Linked DNA regions of Oreochromis niloticus. The protein of the gene in region 1 interacts with the protein of each later gene in a pairwise test. Links are inferred from orthologs where the notes say so. Each region holds a gene or a part of one and is shown on either strand. Other genes may lie near its edges.

Region 1 (3,755 bases):
ACATTGGTTATGATATTTCTTTCATTATTTGGACTGTTTTTATGCATTTGATTCTTTTTGTTGTTGTATTATAATCTTATGGTCTTACTTATGCAGCATGTGGGCAGCTCCTGTTCTTTTAAAAGAAAGGAGGTGGAGGAATAACATAGTTTTACTTGTGAGTTAAACTGAAATAATTTAATTGATAATCAAAATTCATGTTTGGATTTTTTTCAAAGTCTCTGTGAATTTTTTTTTCTGTTTTTCTCTAAAAGAACGAGGTTTTGTATAAATGAAACCTGGAGTGTGTACAATTAGAAATCCAACGGGAAAATCATTTAAACCAGAATTATAAGAAGGACGTGGTGTTCAAATGAAAAGCAGCACAGATGGAGGTACGAGTAAATCTTCTGAGAGGAAAAGGAAGGTTTTTAAAACTTAATGTTGAGGAAAAGTCTAACTTTTTAGGCAGATTCTTTTATATTTCAGCTGCAGCTTTCATGTCCTGGTGACCATTAAAAATTGGCAGCAGCCATCAGAGGATGGGTACACTGAGGTCAGAAAGGTATGGACATGCTCAGTAACAACACTCAGGCAGGCTGTGATGGTTAAAAGATGCTCGGTCGGTACTAAGGTGCCCAAAGTGTGCAAAGAAAATATGCTCCACACCATTTCAGCACCAGCAGCCTGAACTGTTCATACAAAGCAGGATGGATTCATGCTTTCATGCTGTTTAAAGTCTGTCCCCATCATGTGAATGATGCAGCAGAAATTGAGACTGACCAGACTCTTTCCAGACTTCTCCTGCCCAGTTTTGGTGAGCCTGAGGGAGCTGCAGCCTCAGTTTTCTGTCGACCCAGTGCGGTCTTCTGCTTCTGTAACCCTGCTTCAAGGTTCAACGTGTTGGCCGTTCAGAGATGCTCTTCTGCATACCTTGGCAGCAATGGGTGGTTATTTAAGTAACCGCCGCTTTCTTATCGCCTCAAAGCAGCCTGTCAACACATCATTTTAACGCAGAGAGATGCAGCCCACAGGGTATTTTCCCTTTTACAGACCATTTTCTGTAAAGCCTGGAGATGCATGTTTGGGAAAATCCCAGCAGATGATCATTTTCTGAAATACTCGGATAGACCCTCTGACACCAACAGCCATCACTGTTCTTCCTCATTCTGATGAGTAGGTCAGCTTGACGAGGTCTACATGCCTAAATGCATTGAGCTGCTGCCATGTGGTTGCCCCATTAGATATTTGTGCTAACAAGCAATTGAACAGGTGTACCTAATAAAGTGGCTGGTGAGCTTAAGTGACTGGAAACATTCCCACGATAGCAAGATGTCTGGAAGAAGAGTGGGTAAACTGAAGCAGGTTAACTGAGCACTGGAATCCAGATTTAAACACAGTTTCTTTCTGTCTTTAAAAGCAGGAACTAAGTATCTGAACAAACCATTTTCCCCACTTTTCCATGTATTGTGTTCAGTCATTCAAACCTTCATGCAGAACATCAAGAGTTTGAACAAAAAACATTCAGCTGTTCATAAAAATTACAAAATAAAGGAGCATTCTGCTCTTTTTCCCACTTTGTCAGCAAACCACAGACTCAGACCGATAATCTCCTTCAGCACCATCAACCGGATTGTCACTGCAAATTAAACCAGAGCGCCACTTCTGCCTCTGGAAGGAGTCCCAACAACTTTACTGTTCTATAGGCTACATTCAGCAGGAGCCAACATGCTGCAACCACAGACAGGAAGTCTGATACACCAACAAAGCAGCAGTTAAAGCCTGAGCGGGATCTGTGGAAGGGTAACACAGTGCAACTTTAAAAACTGAATCAGGACCAGCAGATCTGCATCAGCCTGGAGTCATGTGGTATCCAGGAGCTTAAGGGGCCCTGAGGGCCCAAACAGAAAATATCAGCGGCCCTGCCCAGTTTCCCTAGAAAAACTGACCACATTAATTCAAACTGGAACAAAGAGCAGGTCCAGCAACTTTCTGTGTGTTTGTGTAGGAGGAGGAGAGGGGGAGGAGAGGGGAGGATGGGGAGGGAGGGGATGGTTGGAGGGAGGGGGCGGGGGGGTCTGTATTGTTTTTTGTTTATGTTATTCGTGATGCTCACTTCCCTTATGCAAGTCTGCAAAGGTGACTTCTAAACTCACTCCAGCCATAACAGCAGCACAGAGTGTGAGAGTGTGTGTGTCTGTTGGAATGCCAGCTATTCAGTGGCTGCTGCGGCCGTGCCGTGCCATGCCGTGCCAGGGCAGGCTGGAAACGGCCGACACGGACACACACAGAAGCACTCAGTGAGGAGGCAGACTTACAAACTGAACCTAGCACCACATTTATCACTCCTACTCTTAAACCGGCTTCACTCAGACCGCCGGCCAGACCCCGTGACAGGAATGTCCACTTTTAAACTCCCAGTCCAGAGTCTGAGCCGCTCTATATTTCACGGCTCTGTAAATTTAACCCGGGGAACATGACCTGGTGCTGGTCATATTATCAATGTTTCTGAGCGGAGTCAAAGAGCATCTCCTCCCGGTTCTAAAACCATCGGCAGCTGCCTCTCTCAGCTACAAAGCCTAACGGAAAACCGGCAACATCTAAAACTACTACATTCCCGAATGGAGTCTGGCGTGTGTCAGGCAGACACGCCTGACTCTCACGCCTTTTCCTTCCTGCAGCAGCGGGACAACTCAGAGCCGTGACAAGGGGGGCCGATGAGGTCCGGGTCCGACTCACCTGAGCTCGCCAGGCTGCTGTGCCGTCCTCCCAGCGTCAGAGTAGCCCGAGAAACTTCCAAAAGACCCCAGCAGACACCCGGATCCGCACAGTCCGCGCGGAGAGACGCACAACAGGTTTGACAGAGACCCCGCCCCGCTGCGCTCCAAGGTCCACAGCCTAAAACCCACCGCGAAGCCTGGCTTAGAAATCCAGAGGTTTTAATAATTAAAAGCTATCGATCCCATCTGTCCAGTCAACACTCAGTGTCAGTCAGATTATTGATCCTCTGAAAGTGAAATACTTCATGCATGGGTTTAATATGAGAAAAAAAAAGTTATATGAATAAAATAGGCGACTTTTACCTCTGATACTTAAGATGGGCCAATTAAATCCACGTTTAAATAACCTGACCCGTAAAGTCTTATTATTAATATTACAATGTGGGGTTTTTAGCGGATGAGGATGTATCCAGATACTTTTGTTCTATTAACAGTACTAACAAGTAAACGTGTAGTTAGTATAGTACAGACGCATCCCTAACAGTAAATTCTCGAATATGATGCTACAGTTTGTATCCGTGTGACGTTTATTTAAATAGTCATGTGGTTAAATAGTCAGAGTCTCCGTAAACCACCAGTACAGTTTTCTAAACCACAGTGGACTACATGTGTTTTATTAGCGAAACTCTTAATGTGAAAAGCCAACGGGGATTAAACTGGTGAAACTGGGCAGAGGTAGGAGTGCTTTTAAACCACGGGCTGGCAGGGGTTAAAGGTCCGGAACGCAGCTGAGTCTCACAGGCATGTTAGCGCGTATTTCTGTTGAATGAGTTCCTTTTAAATAAGCCCGGCATCGTTTCCAGCGACGGCATGCACATACTCGCTCAGTAATCAGAAGCTAATGACATCCTACGAACAGGATACACCCTCAGCACCTTTTCTAGTCCTCATCCATGTGATGCGTTCAAGGTGCAACTTCATTGCGCCCGAGCTAATCAGAAGGTAGCCAGCGCCTTAGAAGAGGAGCAAAGGTAATCATATATATATATATATATA
Region 2 (3,755 bases), on another chromosome or scaffold:
CATGGTGGACTTCAAATAAGGATAGGAGAAATTATATTCAGCTGTGGTGTCTCCAGCTGTCTGAGTATAATCAAGGCTTTATAGCTACCCAGTTATTCAAGTTCGCTCCACACTTGACACATTAGGAGTAGGAACCCTCTCAATTTCTGATGTTTGATTGAGACTTCTGCAATTAACATACATAGCACCTACAACATAGCCTACACCATTGCCAGCATTTAAACCTGTCGATGGTGACATGTAGTTATATTCCCAGGGTCATGAACATTGGAGCTGTAGGTTAGATTGAGGGGTATCATTAGGGTTAGCTGTTATGACATAGGCATAGCACAGAGCTATACTTCCAGTGTGGTACAGAAGCCACTTTGACAAACCTGCAGTATTTTAGGTAAAGATTTCAAAGAGCTTCTTTATCACTTAAAATTAAGTGTTCGTGTATGGGTCATGCACCCCAGCAGGTGCACGTAACGAGGTCACAAAATTTTTTTTATTAATTTTTTTTCTTGTATGTTGGGTTCCTAACGTCTCCAAAGAAATGAAACAACAAGCAGCGAAACGCTGAGAAATCTGCTGCCACAGCTGTACAATCTGTAGGCTTCACTAACCCCCAAACCCTGACATGAGTGACCACAGGGCAGCTGTCCTACCTGAACAGTTGGTTGTCTGTCTTATTGGCTGCCCTGCCGTCACATGACACACACAGAGACACAGCAGTGGGAGGTAATGGGCACGTGCAAATGGGGGGGGAAAAAAAAGTATACAGCAGGAGAAAGAGGAAAGACACATGATAAACAACAAATATGCATCACACAGACGATCGCACAGTGCAGGGATATATGGTGAAAGTGGTGACGAACGGTATTAACAAACAAGACAGGTGCACTACATCCAGTGTTTTATTAGAGGAGATGCAGATTGAATGACATAAATGAACATTATTGTGCAATCTTTTGCTTTTTTTCTGAAGTCAACAAGCCGTCTGAGCTGTTCTTCCAGTGGCCTCACTGAGCATCCGTCAGATAAAAACAATGCTCACCTGGGAATACCACATTTTTTGGAGCGAGGCGTAAAGAGCCGTACCTTTACCCACATAAACTGTCTGGGTGTAGCGGATGTGAGGCTCCTACCTGTCCAGCGTGGAGGTGGGTTGGCGGAGACTCATGTCTGCAGCCTTTATAGACACTCCTCTGCTTCCTGGTGCGGGATTCAAAGCTGTCACTGGGCTGCTTTTGTTATCACCACCATGATCTCCGTTTCCTCTTCAACTTTCAGTCCGTACAATGAGGAGCCTTTCTGTTGCGCTTTGATCAGATCTCCACGCTACAGGGCTGCGGGTTTAGATCAGACACAGTGCTCTTCATGTTTCACACCAGTGGCTCCAGTTTTAGGCTCAGTAGGATTTAAAGGAAAGTGCTGCTAAAACTATAAACGCTCAAATCTCCCAAGGTTTGTCTTCACTCCTTTACATTAGTGGTTAAAATTAAATACAGATCGTTGGTAGCTTGGTGCTGAGATTTCGCAGTAGTGGCAAATGGATAAAGGACAACCTACTTCCACAAAGGTCATCAATCATGAATGAATGGGCTGATATGTCTGGCTATGCTCCAGGAGGTCAACAACATCCCATGTTGGGGTTTTTTTGTTGTTGTTTTTTGTTTTTTTTAAGTGTCTGTGTCAGATTTAAAGCAACTGCCTAAACATAATATTCAGAGGATTAACTGGATATTCGTTGATTACGTGCAATTAAAAGAAATACTAATGCGAACCTGACACTCACTTGACTCAGACTTGTTTACATGTGGAGGCTTCAGCAGAGATCCCAGCCTAAATAATCCCATTCAAATCAGCACTGCTCATTCAGCTTGCTGATAATGCTTAAAAATAGGAAAGCCACCACAAAGTGAATATAATATGATCTGTAGTGATGTGTATGTGGCTATCTAGTGCAAATTACTCAATACACAAGTATCAACAGCATGCATTAGTTAAGCAAAAATATATATACGTTTACAAACAGCATTATCACTCCTCCGAGCTAGCTGTAAGCTACAGAAAACAGTCTGTTTTTCTTAACAGTGTAAACAACAACAAAACCAGTCGCTACAAATGGCTTTGCAATAACGCTACTGTCTAACTAAAGAGCTAGCCAATTAGCAGATTACTTGGCATTGGCTAACCCTGCAGTTGGAGCTTATAATCAAATAAGCACAGCAAAGAAAGAAAGCGAAAGGTGCTCCTCGCCTTTCACCTGTGGCTTTTAGCAATTAGCTGACTTGGAGATGATAACAGGTTCGTAAAGAGGCCTGCTAATTCCAGCTAGCGTTAGCTCGGTGAAGTCAGCTCGACGAATCGGCCTCTTTCAACCTGCGGCATGGCGTTATATCTCACGGCGAACCGAAGCGCTGCGTGCCCGGCTTTCACCTGCCGAGCCTCCGAGCTAGTCTGCTAACCGGCTATGTCTGCAAGACGAAAGACCAGCATGACTTTAGCTGCATGCGAGCAGGTGGATATCACAGTAAGAGGGGAAACTGGAGTCCATGCAAGGCCCGGGTTGTTATATCCACCAGTCTTGTTTTCATGCAAATTCACACGCAGAGTTGCATATTAGCTAGCTAGCCAAAAGGCAAAGCGATTCCAGTAAGAGCTCCACCTCAGGTCTCCTTTCCAAAAACACAGCGGATACAGCAGGATCTGCTCTTCTCTCGTGATCTGCCACAAGAACCCGGATTTAATTCCTAATCGTCGTGGTATATGTTTATCTCCTCTCCAGTCAAAGTCCTTCACATAGAGCTGTATGTTGTGCTGTTATCTTGCTGTCTTGACTGGCTCCTGATCCACCACCATATCCTCAAGGATCACACGACGTAGACAGAGCACACAGAGCGTAAACAGCGCCCTCGTTTGGTCAGGGTTGCGTACTACAACCGGACTGTAACCAGACAGGATAAGTTGGAATTGCATCCGTTCATGGAAAGATTTTTTTTTTTTTATAAAAATATATTTTTAAATCATTGACATAAATATTTATTTTTCCATCAATCTGTGTCACAAACACTCCAGCTTGTTTTTGCCACAGATTTTTTATGAAACATATTTCCATAAAGAATTAATAGCATCTTATTAAAAAATTATGGAAAATATATTTTTAAATATTTTCTTATATTTCTTTCTATGAAGATTTTTTTTTCATATGAGCAAGTCAAAGTATTGGGTTCATATCACAAAATTAGTTAATAACTCCAAATTACCATTACCACTCACTTAGTAACTCAAAATTTTGAGTTAGGTAACTTGAAATTTTGAGATAACTAACTCGAATGTTTGACATACTATTTCAAAATGTTGAGTTATTATGTAAAAGAAAGCTCTTTAAATGTTACTCAGATGTTTCTTCAATTTCTAACATAATAACTCAAAATTCTGAGCTATCATATTAAAATGTCAGATTATTGTGTCCAAAAAAACTGTATCTTTAAATTTTGACTTATTTAGAAGTTACTTGAAATTTCAAGACAGTAAGTCTAAATACTGAGCCAATCGAAATAAAAATGTTGACATAATAACCAGAAATCTGATTCAACTCAAAATCAGAATCACCTTTATTGGTTGAGTATATGTGCACACTGGTTTTTTACATAGCTAAGTTAGAAACAAAACAATACAGCATGCTTTGGTTCAGTAGCAGGCACGCTGGATATTTTAGTAGTAGACAATATGTGAGTGACCTAAGTGTTCATCAGAGTGTGGCCTATGGA

What was found. The genes of interacting proteins can lie anywhere in the genome.
Region 2: the proteins of plxnb3 (region 1) and arhgef11 interact in a two-hybrid assay, tested with the Homo sapiens proteins (2 studies listed by BioGRID and IntAct). The link is inferred for Oreochromis niloticus from reciprocal best matches to the Homo sapiens genes PLXNB3 and ARHGEF11.

Annotation. Positions count from the first base shown.
Region 1 is NC_031984.2:5,162,871-5,166,625, reverse strand, and holds the start of plxnb3 (plexin-B1), read right to left. Parts: upstream 2,871-3,755; 5' UTR 2,719-2,870; intron 1-2,718. UniProt on the Homo sapiens protein: Receptor for SEMA5A that plays a role in axon guidance, invasive growth and cell migration. Stimulates neurite outgrowth and mediates Ca(2+)/Mg(2+)-dependent cell aggregation.
Region 2 is NC_031967.2:26,816,773-26,820,527, forward strand, and holds the start of arhgef11 (rho guanine nucleotide exchange factor 11), read right to left. Parts: upstream 2,892-3,755; 5' UTR 1,163-2,891; coding exon 1,128-1,162; intron 681-1,127; coding exon 648-680; intron 1-647. UniProt on the Homo sapiens protein: May play a role in the regulation of RhoA GTPase by guanine nucleotide-binding alpha-12 (GNA12) and alpha-13 (GNA13). Acts as guanine nucleotide exchange factor (GEF) for RhoA GTPase and may act as GTPase-activating protein (GAP) for GNA12 and GNA13.